3 linked regions of the Saccharomyces cerevisiae S288C genome follow. The gene in region 1 interacts genetically with each later gene. Each region holds a gene or a part of one and is shown on either strand. Other genes may lie near its edges.

Region 1 (7,158 bases):
CATCATTGTCTTTGATATACGCCATTCTTTTTTCCAAAGCAGCCTTTGTGGCTATTGCTTTAACCCGATTTCGATATTCTCTTTTTTTCTGGGAAATGTTTGAGGGTAGGTTTGTGGGCTTCTGATGATCTTGTGCTGTATTGGTGCAGCGTAAAGTAGTGGGGATACAACCCAAAAAACGTAGTATTTTTTTTTGTGAAGAATCACTTTCTTTCCAAATTTTCCAAGAGAACTCACCCTCGGAAGCAATCAGGTTGCCCAACAATTTTCTTGCTTTTTCAATTGACTTTTCTGATAGCGTATTAGGACTACCAAATTTGAAAATTGAGTCTGCTTTGGTTCTCCAATAACTTGTCCGCAATCCAAATCCTTCACTAACCTTTAAGTCTTTGATATACTGTAGGACTGCCCCAAAATTCTTGGTGTTGCCATTCCTAACTAACGCTTTAAATAACATTTCGAACGTCTGAGAATCAGGTTTAATTTTGTAAATCTTACGACAAGTATTATAGCAAAGGAATGCCAAATCACTTCTTCCCTTATTAGCAAATACCCGCATGAAATGATTCATTGCCTCCGAGTCCAACTTAAAATTACTTTTCAAGTGCTGAAAACCATAGTCAAGTAATTTAGATGCGGTTTCAAGTTGTTCCTCGTTTAGTAGTCGTTCTATGCACAGATAGAACGTCTTACGGGAAATCGGTAGTGAATTTGCTGCTAAAACTTTTAAACAGTCCTCTGCTCTATAATCTCCGTTCCTTAGCACAGTATAAACAAAATTTACGTTAAAATTTCCTAAATGTTCACCCATTTGAACAATGTACAATTGTCTCGAAACTTCATCACGAAGAAAGTTATAACATGTCGTCCAAGTTATTACATCTGCAAAAACTCCATGATTACGCATACTTCTAAGATAAAAAAGGACCTCATCGTCAGGGTGCTTCGTTTTTCTAATATGCGAGTTTTTCACTACATTACGCAGTAAAAGATTAAAAGTGATTGTATTTGGTTTAGTCCCCTCAGCCTTCATTTGTGCAAATATTTCTCTACAAGACGCAAAGTCGAAGTGCTCACTGAAAAAGTATATTGAGTCATTATAAACTTGAGCAGAACGCAACGGCAGAGTCGTCTTATTGGTTGGATGAAGTAGGTGCCGCAGCATCTTACGCACAATACCATTTAGTTTGGAAGATGAACGAAAATTGAACTTTGTATGACTTAGTATTCCAATATAATTTTCAAACAATTGAGGGTTCTTTGAAAAGTCAGGGAGAGGAGGGATCTCGTCATTACTAAACTTAAGAAACTTACGAGTGAAGCGTTCTGGCCCTGAATTCTTCTCATTCGATGTGCAATCTATCAGTAGCGTCAATAGTTCTCTAGTAAACTCTTGAGACTTTGCTGTAAGAAGTTTCTGGAATTTATTCGAGGAATTCGTTTGTTTAGAGAACATATACATTCGTTTTGCACGTTCCTCATCATAGTCATCCCTAATTTGTTTCCTAGAAAGCGTTAAAGTCGGCAGGCTTGAAAGGTATTCCTTAACTTGCTCCCTTTCATACTTCACACCATGCCGTACTATTTTTTTTGCCTCTCCATTAACTGACGTTGATGTTGGGCTATCTATTATTTTTTCATCAACTTTCTTGACATTTGCAATTGGTATACCCTCTCTGAACAGGCCTGGAAATATTACTTTCTGATATAGTTTTGGAGCTTCTCTCCCACTTTTGGATAGTGCTTGTGTCAAACACCTTAATGTATTCATAAATATACTAAATGGCTAAGGATGCCCAAGAGTGCCAGAAGATGCCAGAACAAAATCACCCCGAAGTAATCGGTTTTAGTTCTTTTGGCCTTTCCTCTTTTGAAGTTCTGTGTGCGAAAATGACGATTTTCGCCCGAAACCAATAATACTTTTATGACACTATTAAAGATTAAATATAGTAGAAGTATCTAACTTCAATGCACGATAACAACGAAGCCTGTGTTAGTGTTATCATTTCTGACTCGAAAAATTTTCCCACAGATTTTCTGGTGTGGCATCAGAATAATTAACGAATTTTTACCTATTTTTTCACTACGTAAAATATAGTATAATCTGCTATGGCTAATCTTCTGCTTCGATGGAATCGTCCCTATAGCTTTCACCACCAAACAATGAAAGTAAAGCAGGTAAAAATAGGAGAGCATGCAATGCTGCTACAATGATTAGTGTAAACCACATTCTAAAGTAAAATACATCAAATATTTTCGATTGGGCGAATGCAAGTACACAAACTCCAATGAATTTGGTTAGAGTTATACCTTTGATGACGGACTCACCTATGGTATTCAAGGAATAGAGAACTCTTGAGTTTGCGTCTTTCTTGGTTTCACTGGGGACCACTGTAAATGATCTAACAATATGAACACAAAACTCGACACCCAAACCGACACAAATAATTAAATTGACTAAACTGACAGCGTTGAGTGAGATACCTAGTAGGGCCATCAAAGCACCAATATCTACGATAATCATGGTAACGACCAAAGCCAGTAAGAATGAGCTGCGTATATTCTGCAAGAAAACAGATGAAATGAAAAAAATTAGGATAATGGCACTCCCTATTAGCTTCAACGTCAATGGTCCCAAAGTTTGATATTGAACAAAAAAAATGTAAAACGGCGAGTATGCAAACATATCTAGTTCGGGGAAAGAACTTGATATCCTAACTCCATCACTATACGCCTGGATAAAGTCCTTTTGGGATCTCAAAGGATGATGAGCTGTTCTGAAAACTGACGCAGACACACTCGTTTCATTATAAACTAACGCAGTCGAATATGGCGCACGACCACCTAGAGGGCAGGGGTCACTAGGCGCATTAATCCATATGCTTAGGTATTCCATGAAGTCCTTGCCCTCAGGAAACCCTGACATGTTGTAATTCCAAGAACCCTGCTGGAAACAAGTTTCACAACGTCTACTTGGAAAAGAGGGAGGACAAACCTCATCTGTTCCCTTCTTTAATCTACAACACTGGTCGTTTTGAGGATTTAAAAACATGAAATAATCGTCCAGCCAATTAGCCAATGGCTCCGTAATTGTTGACCTGTGTCTTTCTTGCTCCAGTACATTAGCTAATGAGTCTCTTTCGCAAGTTGTAAATTTACCACATATTTTCTGTTGGTTTTGTCTTTTAGTCAAATCTAAATTCTTCACGACCATGTAAACCGGTGGTCCTACGTTTAGGAAGCTATAAACATCCTTAAAATAGTCAACCAGGTAGGAATCCTGTGGAACAGCCAATGTTTGATCTAGCCCAAATTGAATTTCTGGTAAGAAAACCAGAGATGTGAAAAACCAAGCCGAGAAGATAATGATTATGAGCCTCTTTTGCGTTAACATCTTAAAATAAAACGTTTTCAAAAATGATTCCTTAGTTTCTTCATTTCCGGTAATTTGTTTATAATTGGATCTCTTTTCGTAGAGAGACAAAATGGACACATACGCTGTTAGCTGTAATACTCCGTTGAATATAACAGAAACTGTGGAATATATAGCAAAATTATGGACAGCTGGCATTGTAACAAATGCAGCTATCAAGAAGCATCCGGTTTGACATAGCAATGACATTAAAATGGAAGGAGACATTCTCCCGATAGCGCTTATTATTTTTTGATCAATTGAATACTCCGGTTTTTGCTCGCAATTTCTATCATACTCATGTGTAATCAAGAAAATATTATCTATTCCTATTGCTAAAATTAGAAACGGTATTACTTCTGCTATGATCAATGTCGACTTCAAACCAAAAAGAGTTAAAAATCCGGCTGCACAAACAATAGAAGCCAAAACTATGAGTAAACCAGATATTCCAAGTAACAACCTAGTTTTCCCATCCTTTCTCCTCAAGGCCCATGTAGCATATAAAAACATCATCAGGTATGATATTGCAACGGTCGAGATATCATTATTATTATTAAGCTCTTTTTCCAAGGATATTTCGGTATTAAAACTGATCCTCAGGCCCTCGGGGACCTTTAAATCCAATAAATACTCTTCCAATCTTTCTTCCCAGCGATTAGCTGATTGAGTGTGGTTGGTCAATAGAAGTGTTACAACAAACGCATGCGCATTGAGAATATCATCGTCACTGAAAAGAAGATTAGTTTTTAGAGGTTGCTGGAAAGTAGGTAGACAGTTTACAGGAAATTTCCCACATTCCTGCAGTTCCCTTTTCCAGCTATCCTTGTTTGGTAAGGCCCCCTGAAAATACTGAGTAAAAGACTCTATTACGCATGTAGAATCTTCTGTTGGTCTGAAGCAGAGATCTTGGTATCCAATATTTTCTGACGATTGTAGCTCTTCCGTAATAAAATTTTCAACGTCAAACCACCAGTGAAGTGTCTCATATGATAACACAGGGCCTGTCTCATTCACAACAAATATTTGCTCTGTCCTGTAAAATGGCCCAAAATTATCATCGAAGTACTCTTTTTCTTTGAATTTTTCAGAATTTTTACTCACCCACAAATTAATTGGATCTGTTTCAAGAGTAGCGTACTGAAATATGATGAAACTGAATACAAAGATACTAAAAACAGTGGTTATTAATATCTTGTAGGGGTTTTCAACGGAAAATTGTCCCACTTTCGTAAATAGGTTAGCGAGTTTACCATTAAAAAAGTTAGTTTCATTATTGAAACTTTCGAATACATTCGTCTCTGATTCATCTAAGGAACCTGATTCTGGAACAATATCGTCGTCCACAATCATTGCCCCGTTTTTTTTTCTTTTACAGAGATAATACCACATAAATGCAAAAAGTGCACAGATTGTGTAAAAGATCAGAACAGAAAGGGAAAAACATGGCAGAGGGCCAACTTTACACACGCCATCTTTTAAAGGTTTTAAATGGGGGCAAGACTCTTGACAATCAGAACACGCACATTTATATTGAGCATCATCGCAAGCATAAACCTCATCATTAAATTCCTGCCATTCTTTTTCTTCATTTGCTAAATCATACTTGTAATTAATCTGAAAGGGGGATCCACCAAGCATAGGTTTAGCATCCCCCAAAAACTTCAAGAATTGACTGTAATTTTTAGCACCACCTCCGATTAGGTCCATCGCATAACCGTTGGTAGCAGAAAATTTAATATTCTTACATGAGTCATAAAATTCAGATGCCCAAGACGAATTCATGAAAACGTCTAATTCCGCAACAATATCTTTATCTTCTTTTGACTTTTCTACCTTGGTAATATTGACAAACCTTCCTTGGTCAGCAGCGCAAGTGAAGTGACAGAACAGGTTATTAAAATTCTTGAGGCATGCTGGGCATGAGGAAATTAAAGGTTGAGCCTTTTGTAGGTTATCTCTCAGTGCTACCACTTGATCTTTAGTACAGCAGGCATAACGGACCTCTTTCCACTCTTCACCACAAACTTCAACCAAAAGTTTGCTTGTTTCATCTGAAAGAACAGGAGGTTCAAAACTACGTGGCACAGGGCAAGGTAATTCGTTTCCAAATACTGACTTTTTCCCACAGTTCCCATACATGGCACAGGTAGCTGTTCCCTGAACGAGCCGCATCAGCTGGCCAACTAGTGCTATAATCCATAGCACATTCATGGTTTTACTAATTGAAGTTCTGCTCTTGTTCTTTTTGGAGATGAATTTAGTTATCTTCTACACAAGAACGTTGTTATACTGGTTGTTGATGTTCCTCTCGTTTGGCACTCCCGCTATATAAACGCTAAGGGGGTCACCCGAGAAGTTCAAGGCTCTTTATCAGAATATCGCAAATAATCTTTAGTACTGTAGGTAATGGGCTAGCGCCATCCAGAAGTCTAGTTTAATTGCCAAAAAGTGGCGCTCTTGATGTTAGTGATGGGAAGAGAATATCTTGACTACTCTATCGTTCGGTAATAGTTAATTACTGGGATGCGCTTAAATGATTATACAAGTTATTTATGTCGACGACTGCCTGTAGAAAAACAATGTAGCGAATACCTGCATAGCAGTTCAATAATAGGAGAGAATCATTGCGTATATATTACGAAATACCACAACTGCAACACATTTATGTAAGATTAAATTGTTGCTTACATCTGTTGTGACATTAGCCACGGTATGCAATTAGCTGAATGATTTATTTCAATAAAAAAGGAAATAGACCTTCCCAAAGATAATCCAACTTCCCAGCATTTGCTTTTGAAGTTTTGCTTCGTATTGGAAGGCTTTAAATGGCGTATTTCTTCCGTCATTTCGCACCTTAAGTGTATTCTGTTTCTTACGCGCAACGCACTTTTCTCAATAATGAGATCTAAACAATGATTAGACAGAATTATATATAATGAAAAAAGCAGCATGACTAACTTTGTTAGGAGTTAGGAAAGCCAATTCAATTCATAATGAAGCTTCTAAAGGACTTATTGGTAGATAGAAAGGAATTTGAGGATTGGAAGAACAATTTAACATGGGCTCGGGATGGTACTCTATATTTGACCACATTTCCTGATATTAGCATTGGGCAGCCAAAATATGCTAAAGACATTAATTGCAACAGTAAGAATTTATTTCATGTGAAAGAATTCCCGCTAGAATTTGAAAATAAACTGGATTTCGAGCTGGCGCAACAGAATGGGTTATTAAATTCACAACCTGTTTGTTATCCCAGAGTCTGTAAGCCATCACCAATAGACGATTGGATGGCCGTATTGAGCAATAATGGTAATGTTTCTGTGTTCAAAGATAACAAAATGCTCACAAATCTCGATTCAAAAGGAAACTTAAGTAGCAGAACCTACCATTGTTTTGAATGGAATCCTATTGAATCATCAATCGTGGTTGGTAATGAAGACGGTGAGCTTCAATTCTTTAGCATTCGCAAAAATTCAGAAAATACTCCAGAATTTTATTTTGAGAGTAGTATTAGATTAAGTGACGCAGGCTCAAAAGACTGGGTCACTCATATAGTATGGTACGAAGACGTTCTTGTAGCGGCGCTTTCAAACAATTCTGTATTTTCAATGACAGTTTCTGCTTCCTCTCATCAACCCGTTTCTAGAATGATACAAAATGCTTCGAGAAGAAAAATTACTGATTTAAAGATAGTGGATTATAAGGTGGTTTTAACTTGTCCCGGATATGTGCATAAGATA
Region 2 (5,752 bases), on another chromosome or scaffold:
GACACTTGCCTATTATGGACAGCCAGTAAAGATGTGCCATATATTGCCCCCTTTACGCTCTCTGCCAGTATTAGTGGGAAAAAAAAAACTGAAAAAAAAAAAATCGCAGACTACTAATAATCACGTGATATTTCTTTTCACTCTCTTCATAAAGTTGCTAAAAACACACAATCGAATGAGCCTCTGAGCAGTATAAATTGTACTTCAAAGCACTAGTCATGAAAAACGCTTACATTAGTTCAGTTTGTCAAGGTTATGCTATTACTTGTACTTATTTCTTGCTATTGTTAGTGGCTCCCCACATTGACGTATTTTCACGTGATGCGCCTCACTGCGGAAGGCGCCACACATTGCCTGCAAAAAATTGTGGATGCACTCATTTGATAGTAAACTAAGTCATGTTAATCGTTTGGATTTGGCACACACCCACAAATATACACATTACATATATATATATATTCAAAATACAGCTGCGTCCAATAGATGAGCTTCCGCTTCGTTGTACAACCTACCTGCTATCTTGTTCACGGATATTTCTTGCTTTTAATAAACAAAAGTAACTCTAGAACAGTCAAGTCTTCGATAATTTTTTTAGTCACAGGGTCCGTCTAAAGTTTCTCTTTATTTGGAATAATAGAAAAGAAAGAAAAAAACGTAGTATAAAAGGAATGTCGCATACTTTAAAATCGAAAACGCTCCAAGAGCTGGACATTGAGGAGATTAAGGAAACTAACCCATTGCTCAAACTAGTTCAAGGGCAGAGGATTGTTCAAGTTCCGGAACTAGTGCTTGAGTCTGGCGTGGTCATAAATAATTTCCCTATTGCTTATAAGACGTGGGGTACACTGAATGAAGCTGGTGATAATGTTCTGGTAATTTGTCATGCCTTGACTGGGTCCGCAGATGTTGCTGACTGGTGGGGCCCTCTTCTGGGTAACGACTTAGCATTCGACCCATCAAGGTTTTTTATCATATGTTTAAACTCTATGGGCTCTCCATATGGGTCTTTTTCGCCATTAACGATAAATGAGGAGACGGGCGTTAGATATGGACCCGAATTCCCATTATGTACTGTGCGCGATGACGTTAGAGCTCACAGAATTGTTCTGGATTCTCTGGGAGTAAAGTCAATAGCCTGTGTTATTGGTGGCTCTATGGGGGGGATGCTGAGTTTGGAATGGGCTGCCATGTATGGTAAGGAATATGTGAAGAATATGGTTGCTCTGGCGACATCAGCAAGACATTCTGCCTGGTGCATATCGTGGTCTGAGGCTCAAAGACAATCGATTTACTCAGATCCCAACTACTTGGACGGGTACTATCCGGTAGAGGAGCAACCTGTGGCCGGACTATCGGCTGCACGTATGTCTGCATTGTTGACGTACAGGACAAGAAACAGTTTCGAGAACAAATTCTCCAGAAGATCTCCTTCAATAGCACAACAACAAAAAGCTCAAAGGGAGGAGACACGCAAACCATCTACTGTCAGCGAACACTCCCTACAAATCCACAATGATGGGTATAAAACAAAAGCCAGCACTGCCATCGCTGGCATTTCTGGGCAAAAAGGTCAAAGCGTGGTGTCCACCGCATCTTCTTCGGATTCATTGAATTCTTCAACATCGATGACTTCGGTAAGTTCTGTAACGGGTGAAGTGAAGGACATAAAGCCTGCGCAGACGTATTTTTCTGCACAAAGTTACTTGAGGTACCAGGGCACAAAGTTCATCAATAGGTTCGACGCCAATTGTTACATTGCCATCACACGTAAACTGGATACGCACGATTTGGCAAGAGACAGAGTAGATGACATCACTGAGGTCCTTTCTACCATCCAACAACCATCCCTGATCATCGGTATCCAATCTGATGGACTGTTCACATATTCAGAACAAGAATTTTTGGCTGAGCACATACCGAAGTCGCAATTAGAAAAAATTGAATCTCCCGAAGGCCACGATGCCTTCCTATTGGAGTTTAAGCTGATAAACAAACTGATAGTACAATTTTTAAAAACCAACTGCAAGGCCATTACCGATGCCGCTCCAAGAGCTTGGGGAGGTGACGTTGGTAACGATGAAACGAAGACGTCTGTCTTTGGTGAGGCCGAAGAAGTTACCAACTGGTAGGGATAGATACCACACATACCTCAGGCATAACATAGATAAACCAGTACATGTATATCTATATCTATATTTATATATAGACAAACAGCATTAATTAACTATAACAAAGTTTCTAGTAACACTAACGGTAGTAGTAGATTTCTCTTTTTTGTCCTCGTTGTTAAAAAACGAAAGAAGAATGAAAAAAAAAAAAAAAAACAGAAGAGTAATAGCTAGTGCTTTAGAGCTTTCCACATTTTGACCGCACTTGTAGACAGCCACTCTTGCGTTGCCACTCGACATTACATGAACAACTGTTCTTCTCCCTGTAGCCTTAGCTTACTTCAAACTTTTTTCGTTTAGCGGGGAAAATACATCACTGAAGTAATTTTTAGATCACTCGTGGCGTAAAAGTAAGCATATCGCAATAATCATACTCATATCCTTTATCATCCAAAAAGTAGTAATAGCGCTGGCAAGGCATGTCGAATGAGAGCACACGAGTTACCGTTAGTCGCGGTTGTACAGCCTCCGACGAGTGTGCGCAAGCATTGGAACGGACAAACGATGAGCTAGACAGAGAATCATCGGTATCAGAAAGTAGAAGTGATGAAGAGAGCCACGAGAAGTTATCCCGACGTCGATTCCCGACGCTAGGTATAGGCATATGGCTCGATTTGAAGGACAGAATACCGTATTACAAGTCAGATTGGGTAGATGCGTTTAATTACAGAGTTATTCCCTCTATTGTTGACACCTACTTTAATAACCTGCTACCTGCAATAGCCTTTGCGCAAGATATGTTTGATAGGACTGATAATTCCTATGGTGTGAACGAAGTACTTCTATCCAGTGCAATGGCTGGAATTGTTTTTGGAGTTCTTGGTGGACAGCCCTTATGTATAGTGGGTGTTACTGGCCCCATCTCTATTTTTAATTATACGGTCTACGAAATTATAAAGCCTTTGAATACCAGCTATTTTGGCTTCATGTTTTGGATTTGTATGTGGTCTATGATTTTTCATTTAGTTTTAGCATTTACGAACGCCGTTTGCCTCTTGCAATACGTGACTACGTTCCCATGTGACATATTTGGATTATTTATTAATGTGGTCTACATTCAAAAAGGAATACAAATTTTAACAAGACAGTTCAGTGCTAAATCAGGGGAGAAATCAGTACAAGACGGATTTGCTAGTGTCGTGGTGGCGCTGGTTATGACTGCGTTTGGTCTTTTCTTTAAATTATTTCATTATTACCCCCTCTTTTCTCATAGGATCAGAACATTCATATCTGATTATTCAACTGCGCTTTCAGTGCTATTCTGGTCATCATTTACACATTTTGGTGGCTACTTGCATGATGTCAAATTTAAAAAATTGCCTATTACGAAAGCTTTTTTTCCTACTTCCAAAGTCAATAGGCCTCAAAATACTTGGCTGGCATATGAACCGATTCCTGTTAAAGACGTCTTTATTGCCCTACCATTTGGTATATTTTTAACAATCTTGTTTTACTTTGATCATAACGTATCGTCGCTAATGGCACAAAGGCATCAGTATAAGCTGAAAAAACCATCCTCTTTTCATTACGATTTCGCACTATTGGGACTTACCACTTGCATCAGCGGGGTTCTAGGAATCCCGGCGCCCAATGGTTTGATTCCTCAAGCACCATTGCACACAGAGACACTGCTAGTTAGGGATTCAAACCAAAAGGTTATCAGTTGCGTAGAGCAAAGATTTACAAATACGTTTCAGGGCCTGATGATTCTAGGGACAATGACAAGACCGTTATTGGTATGCTTAGGAGAAATCCCTCAGGCAGTACTTTCCGGATTGTTTTTCATTATGGGCATCAATGGCCTAATGACAAATAGTATTATACAACGGTTGGTTTTCCTGTTTTCAGACCCTAACAGAAGAGATAATACTTCACCTTTAATGAAAGTATCCAAGAAGTCAATGCTGATATTTCTTTCCTTTAGCCTGACGGGGTTTGCTGGTGAATTTGCTATCACAAATACTATAGCGGCCATCGGCTTTCCCTTAGTATTGCTTTTAAGTGTGTTAGTTTCTTTCTCGTTTGCTTATATTTTCCCGACTGAAGAATTAAAGATTCTCGATACTAATGTGGCACAAAAATTTACCATTAAAAATTTGTTATTGGAAAATATTCGTGATGCAAAGTTCTGTGATAAGCATGAAGACTAAACGCAGTTAGGATGTACAAAAGTCAACCACTTGTAATATATAGAAATTAATTGCATATATAAGAAGTATAATAATATTATCGCATTTCGAAAGGAAGAATAAAACTATGGATCTTGTAGTCAAACTAATGGCTTAGATTCATTGGGCCAGTCTTCATTTTGTAATTCCGGAACAATAGTCAAGACTTTCCCGGTCAATATCACATTCTTTGCATTTTCAACGACCAGTTCTTCCATTTTCTTTCTTGTTTCTACACTATGTGTGCCCATATGAGGCAGTCCTAAGACTTGGGACATCGATAATAACTCTTTGGATATTTTTGGCTCATATTCGAAAACGTCCAAACCAGCACTTCTAATCTTTCCAGAACGCAAAGCATCAGTCATGGCTTGTTCGTCTATCACGGCACCACGCGCTGTGTTAACAATAACTACACCATCTTTCATTTTTTCAATAGTCTCTGCATTGATTAGATGGTGAGTATTGTGGTTCAGTGGGACGTTTACAGATACTATATCAGAACGCTTCAAAAACTCCTCGAATCCTACATATTCACAACCATGCTCTTCTTCGGAAGGAAGCTGGTGTCTGTTATGATATATGAAATTCTCGAACCCAAACGGCTTCAATCTCTCTAAAATACAACGACCAATCCTACCTAGACCCAGTATACCAACTGTTTTCCCTTCAGGGTCGTATCCAAAGGGAGAACCACATGCGGGTCCTGCCTCCGGCCAGTTTCCCTCGATCAACCTTCTGTTACCAATACCGAAGTTTCTTAGGGCACCCAATAGCAAAAATACATGCGTATCAGCGGTAGCATTGCTAACTAAATCAGGAACATTGGCAACCTGGATGTGCCTTTTCTTGAATGGCTCAACATCAATTTGGTCATAACCAGCACCAGTATGACATACAGCCACTACGGAGGAGGGCAAAGCAAGAGCAAGCTCTTCATCAAATCTACCGGTGTTTTTCACACTCCTTGCTGTTCTAGTAATGACTTGTACTTGGGAGAGCTTATTTTGTGGGTCTTTTACCTCCCGCAAAAACTGTTCTCTAGTGGTGGATTCAGGGATGGTAATTACATCCGCAATCTTTTCCAATTCCCCCCAGGCTTGGTCACCAAAGGCATCCTTTCCTAATTTCAAAACAATTGGTTTCTTACTCATATTCTCTTCTCCTCTTCTTGCTCGTTTATGTATTGTTAATACTTCGGTATTGTAGAGCAATAATCATGTAGAAGGATTTCCCTAACGTAACAACAAGGCCAATAGAATTTACTTTTTATATGCTCGAGATTAGTGAAAAATGGGATAAGATTGCCTTGTTATCCCCGCCCCCTGCCAAGACTTTTGCAGATTTTAAGTCCGCTCTCGGTCCTACGTAATAAATGCCTGGAGAAGCTCTAGAGCTAATTGCGTCGTCCTTCAG
Region 3 (5,192 bases), on another chromosome or scaffold:
CTACATCTTCATCGTCTAACGGTGGTAGATCGTATATGCCTTGCTTGTTGCCACCTACCCAGGTACCAGAAGCGCCTTCTATTTCTGCAAATAATGGAGTGTTGTTTTCGTCCTTCGCTCTTTTATTTATGTTTTTCAATAGCTTGGCAATCAGTTTGGGATCTAAAGAGTTATACAGATCCTCACGTTCTTGCACGATTTGTTCATCACTCATTCCCTGCAGAACTTTAATATTTTCATTATGGATAGATTTTGCCTCGGATAGTGGGGCGTCTGTACTCGTTTGTTGCTTTTCAGCATCCTTGCCACTAGTTTTTTTCTTTTGGGCTCTTTTTTCTCTTAGTCTTTCCTTCCAAGATGATATTTTCTTGGGTTTGTACAACTCGGGAAATCCCGTTCCACAGTTGTTGGTACTAAGAGTGCCATTGTCATTACTTTCAACAGAGTCAGATGTATCTTTCTCCACTATATCGCCCAGTAAGTCCATTACGATGGTGGCAGAGTGATTTATCTTCTTTGAATGAGGGAAAATGAATATATTAAACTATAGATTTACTTAGCCGACAGCGATGAGATGGCTTGCCATTACATTATTATTCATTTCAGGTACATAGAAGTACCGAAAAATGAAAAAGAAAAAATAAAATAGAAAAAAAAGAAAGAAATGAAAAAAAAAGGGTAGCAAAAGAGCCACACATCACTTATTACGAAATTCTGCGGAGGAGGATAACGTAGAAAGAGTCACTCATGCTAAACTACCATAGTTATCATCCGAGGAGGAGAGGTGTGAGTACCGGGCCTCGTTCTCCTCATATGGATGACAGCTGATCACGTACAAAGCATGGATCAGACCAGGGAAAAACCCTAGTAAAAATAACAGAAAGTTAATGAGCAGATCCTTGGTAAAAAAACCTCTTTTTAGCCAGACTGCTAAGGGAGGAATGAAAATTGCAATAAAAACTAAAAACCAGTCGCGGGCGTGCATAGTGTAATTCTAAAGTTGTATGTTCTCTAATACGATGACTGGTACTTGCAAAATGCTTATTCGAGGACTAACTAAGATCGATCAGTAAAGATCTCTTGTCAATCAAACCTTTCTCGCACAATAGGAGACAGGAAAAGGGGAAAGAAAGTCGAAAAAGTGCGGGTTCCGGTACATGGATTATATCGCCCCGGGACAATGCGCGTTGCCCCTCACCGGCCCGGAATATACGCGTGGTTGCGCTCTTTCGTTACCCGCGACTGTTTTGGCGCCCCATTCATGCTACGCGGATCTGGACCTGCTTATTTCCCGAGAATACGTCCCGAAAAAGTAATGCAGTTTCCGAAATGGGCGCGGTAAGGGCCTAGGCCCAACGTTGGGCCTTTTTCAGTTCCAAAAAAACGACTCGTTGGGAGCCGTGCGGTCCCGTCTTCGGGCGTGATTGGCCGCTTTGGCCGCTTCTGGGCGTAGGACGCCAAAGTTTATTTCCAAAATAGCGAAGACCAGAGCCACGCCTTTTCTTTTTGCAAGCGGAATATCCGCTTGAGAAATGAGAAAAAGAAAGCAGAAAAAAAATCATCGCTTTTTTCACGTTTGTTACATGAGATATGGTGCTGTGTGTCATCGCGGTGGTTTTCCTGGCTTTTCTCCTCATATATAAGGAACTCGAGAAATTCTTGATTTTCTTTTCCATCTTCTCCTACTGTATTATTTACTTTATTAGTTAATATTGTTTTTGATTTTAGAGGAAAATCATCATTAAACATAAGTTTCAATCAACACTAATCATCAACAAAACAATGCAATTCAAGACCATCGTCGCTGCCTTCGCTACTGTTGCCGCTGTCCAAGCTGCTAACGTTTCTACCAATGGTTCCAACCGTACCAACGGTTCCAACACCACCAGCACCAAGATCTCCACTGGTGCTGCTGCTTCCAACGCTTTGGGTGCTGGTGTCTTCGGTGCTGCCGTCGCTGCCGGTGTCGCTTTCTTATTCTAAGTTCTTTAATTTTGAGTTTAGAGACATTATACTCCTATAATATCGAAAAAATTTTTTTATTATCGCTACACAATCAAGTTTTTATGTGCTTTTTTAATAATATTATTATAGAACAAGAAGAAAGACCGCTCTTTCCTTGAAGGGACCAAAGAAGGAAAAAAAATATGTTGGAAGGGTTTTATATGATCTTTTCATGTTCGTTCACTTGTAATGGAATATTAGTTAGAAGATGTAAATAACTTATCTGTTTATTTTTATTTCCTCTCTATAATTATTACCTGTATTAATTCATTATCTAATATAAAATCTAATCTAATAATAGAATTTTCTGATGTTTATCTTTTTTTTTGTCGTATTCTCGGCGAATTAATCGCGGAAAATTTCATATCGAATTTTAAAGGAATGTCATTTTGAACGCTAAAGTATTATTTATTCTCGTCCGATGTTGGTTTTTTTTCCTATCGCTGTCGTTATAATAGTACTTGACGAAGAGAGAAGAAAAGTAAAAATTTGAGCGAAAAAGAGGATAAAAATCACATTGAGGCAGAGTGGTTAAGGTAGCTGTACCAGTCATTTTGAATACATTTTTCTGGATGTTCCATCAATAATGGATTTTTATACTACTGATATCAACAAAAATGTTGTGCCTTTGTTCAGTAAAGGAACAGTAGCAAGAACAGCATCAAAAGCACAGTATCCATCATGGTGCAACAACGCGTTAAAGTTAACTAATATTCTTCTTAAATCTCTTCGATGTAAATTTCAAACGAACCGCTGCGAGGATGATCGAGGTTTTGAGGTATATTGTGTTATTTTAAAAAGCATCGCTTTATTAATGGCCGCGAAAGAATCATTGATATTACTACAAATACCTCCTTCTTTACCATCAGGATTTCCATTTCGTTCACCCCAACTGTCATTTACATATTTATCAACCCGTCTTAGTGGGAGCCAACACAAATCTACGCATTCTCATCACATCAATCATCAAACTCATCCCATTCATAGTAGCAGTAGCAACAGTAATAGTAATAACCGTATTCCTACAAAAACAGATTCCTCCAAACAGCATACACAGCATTTCTCTTTTGCTAATGCGGGAGCCTCCAATAGAGACGAACTGCTATCAATCGTGCGCAAAATTGATAAATCTAATTTGAAGTGTTGTGACTGCGGTAGCACCGCAACAGTAGAATGGGTGTCAATCAATTTATTGTGTATATTGTGTATCAAATGTTCGGGCGTTCATCGATCTCTGGGTTCACATATCTCCAAAATTAGATCTTTAACGCTGGATAATTTCACCTCGTTAGAGTTGATGCATCTTTTACAAAATAATGTTTCCAATAGTAATGTTAATGCCATTTATGAAAGCAATCTCAGGAACTTTCCAGTTAAAAAAATAACTGCAAATTCTGATGACTCGGAAAGATCCAAATTCATTATTGATAAGTATCAATTTAAAAAGTTTGTTATCGACAGCAACCAAGGCAGAGAGGCTTCTTTGAAGTCTTTAATTAAAGCTATCCATTTAGATAGTGTTTTCATGATGCAAAGAGCCATCGCCCAAAGTAAATATTCCCTAAGAGAATTGACGGCAAGCGAAAAAGAGCAGAATGATCTAAACCATTCTTCCATTTTTCAATATTCCCTAAAGCACTATGAAATTGTTGATGGAACGCCCATTTTTTTTATTACAGAATTTTTATTGTGCAATGGTATTCATATAGATAATTTACCGAAGATTACTACGAATTGGTCTCCAAAGGTTTTAGAATATTGGGAAACTAAGTTGGAGATGTACGGAACATTCCAAGCTGTAAATACTTCTCGTCCAAGATCAGGGCCGCATTTAAATATGCATTCAAATGTAGATTCAGCTTCGTCCTACAATAAGAAACACGATTTGAGAGTTAACATACCTGAAAGAAGTGCCTCAGCAAGTAAAAGGTGGAGTTTGAGCTCCATTCCTAAGTCTTCTCAAAATTTGATGTCCCCAACAAACTTATTAACAATGCATAAGTCTTTAAAATTGGCCAAAAAGGACAAAAAATAACATATATGATAATTTAACTGTATTTTTTTCCCTTTTCTAATACTTTTTCCTCAAGTTATATTTCGGAGCTGTCCCAGGTTCGGAACAATGCGGCATCAGGGATAAAAAAAAATGACACATAAAAACGAAAAAGACACAAATTCCATTTTTTTTTTTTGACGCGAAAGAATGACACTACTTTCTTCTATTGTAACCATTTCTAACATCGATATTTTACTTGTTAGTTCAGATATATACTAAAGAGTCACTTAATATACTGTTTTTGTTTATTATCTTGGTTCCAACTGCTTCATTTAATATTTCCTATCCAAAAAAAGCCAGCTAATTCTCTTCTTTTTTTTTCTTATTTTGCCATTTTCAATATTATCGATTTAGTGAACACCTGGCTAGTCAGTTGTCTTAGCAAACATTTCTCAAAAGAAAGCAAACCAGCATTTGCTTTTTAAATTTAGTTTTTTTACTAGCTAATTCATTTACTAAACAACAAAAGAAAATAGCACAAAATGGAAAGCAAAGAAATATCAATTAGGTCAAGAACCCCTCCATCGAAGCTATATTCCATCCAATCATGTATTGGCAGAGGTAACTTTGGTGATGTGTATAAAGCAGTGGATAGAGTTACGCAAGAAATTGTGGCAATTAAGGTGGTCAACCTGGAGCATTCCGACGAAGACATTGAACTGTTAGCACAGGAAATTTTTTTTCTGGCGGAATTGAAATCTCCTCTTATTACAAACTATATTGCAACAATGTTAGAAGATGTCTCTATGTGGATTGTCATGGAATATTGCGGCGGTGGATCATGTTCAGATTTACTGAAGCGAAGTTACGTCAACGGTTTGCCTGAAGAAAAAGTTTCCTTCATTATTCATGAAGTCACCTTGGGTTTGAAATACCTGCATGAGCAAAGGAAAATTCATCGTGATATCAAAGCAGCTAATATTTTACTAAATGAAGAAGGTATGGTTAAGTTGGGTGATTTCGGAGTAAGTGGCCACATTCGTTCCACTTTGAAAAGGGACACTTTTGTAGGAACGCCGTATTGGATGGCTCCGGAAGTTGTTTGCTGCGAAGTTGATGGGTATAATGAGAAAGCAGATATATGGTCCTTGGGTATCACCACCTATGAGTTACTCAAGGGCTTACCCCCATT

Evidence for each region.
Region 2: of NCR1 (region 1) and BOR1, a mutation in one rescues a mutant of the other (synthetic rescue), as found in Saccharomyces cerevisiae (one study listed by BioGRID).
Region 3: mutations in NCR1 (region 1) and AGE1 together harm fitness more than expected from each alone (negative genetic interaction), as found in Saccharomyces cerevisiae (2 studies listed by BioGRID).

Annotation. Positions count from the first base shown.
Region 1 is NC_001148.4:543,099-550,256, reverse strand, and holds NCR1 (sphingolipid transporter), read right to left. Parts: upstream 5,627-7,158; coding exon 2,114-5,626; downstream 1-2,113. Other genes in the region: AEP3 (Aep3p), read right to left, coding at 1-1,771; transcription factor TFIIIC subunit TFC8, read left to right, coding at 6,409-7,158. UniProt on the Saccharomyces cerevisiae protein: Involved in sphingolipid trafficking. May recycle sphingolipids between cellular membranous compartments.
Region 2 is NC_001146.8:116,681-122,432, forward strand, and holds BOR1 (Bor1p), read left to right. Parts: upstream 1-2,587; coding exon 2,588-4,318; downstream 4,319-5,752. Other genes in the region: YNL277W-A (uncharacterized protein), read left to right, coding at 1-187; MET2 (homoserine O-acetyltransferase), read left to right, coding at 669-2,129; GOR1 (glyoxylate reductase), read right to left, coding at 4,438-5,490. UniProt on the Saccharomyces cerevisiae protein: Functions in boric acid/borate export across the plasma membrane, and thereby protects yeast cells from boron toxicity. Involved in the trafficking of proteins to the vacuole.
Region 3 is NC_001136.10:1,486,389-1,491,580, reverse strand, and holds AGE1 (GTPase-activating protein AGE1), read left to right. Parts: upstream 1-2,590; coding exon 2,591-4,039; downstream 4,040-5,192. Other genes in the region: RBA50 (Rba50p), read right to left, coding at 1-487; SNA2 (Sna2p), read right to left, coding at 746-985; API2 (Api2p), read right to left, coding at 1,347-1,676; YDR524C-B (uncharacterized protein), read left to right, coding at 1,783-1,983; YDR524W-C (uncharacterized protein), read right to left, coding at 2,089-2,178; putative serine/threonine protein kinase SPS1, read left to right, coding at 4,543-5,192. UniProt on the Saccharomyces cerevisiae protein: GTPase-activating protein (GAP) for the ADP ribosylation factors ARF1 and ARF2. May be involved in the endocytic pathway.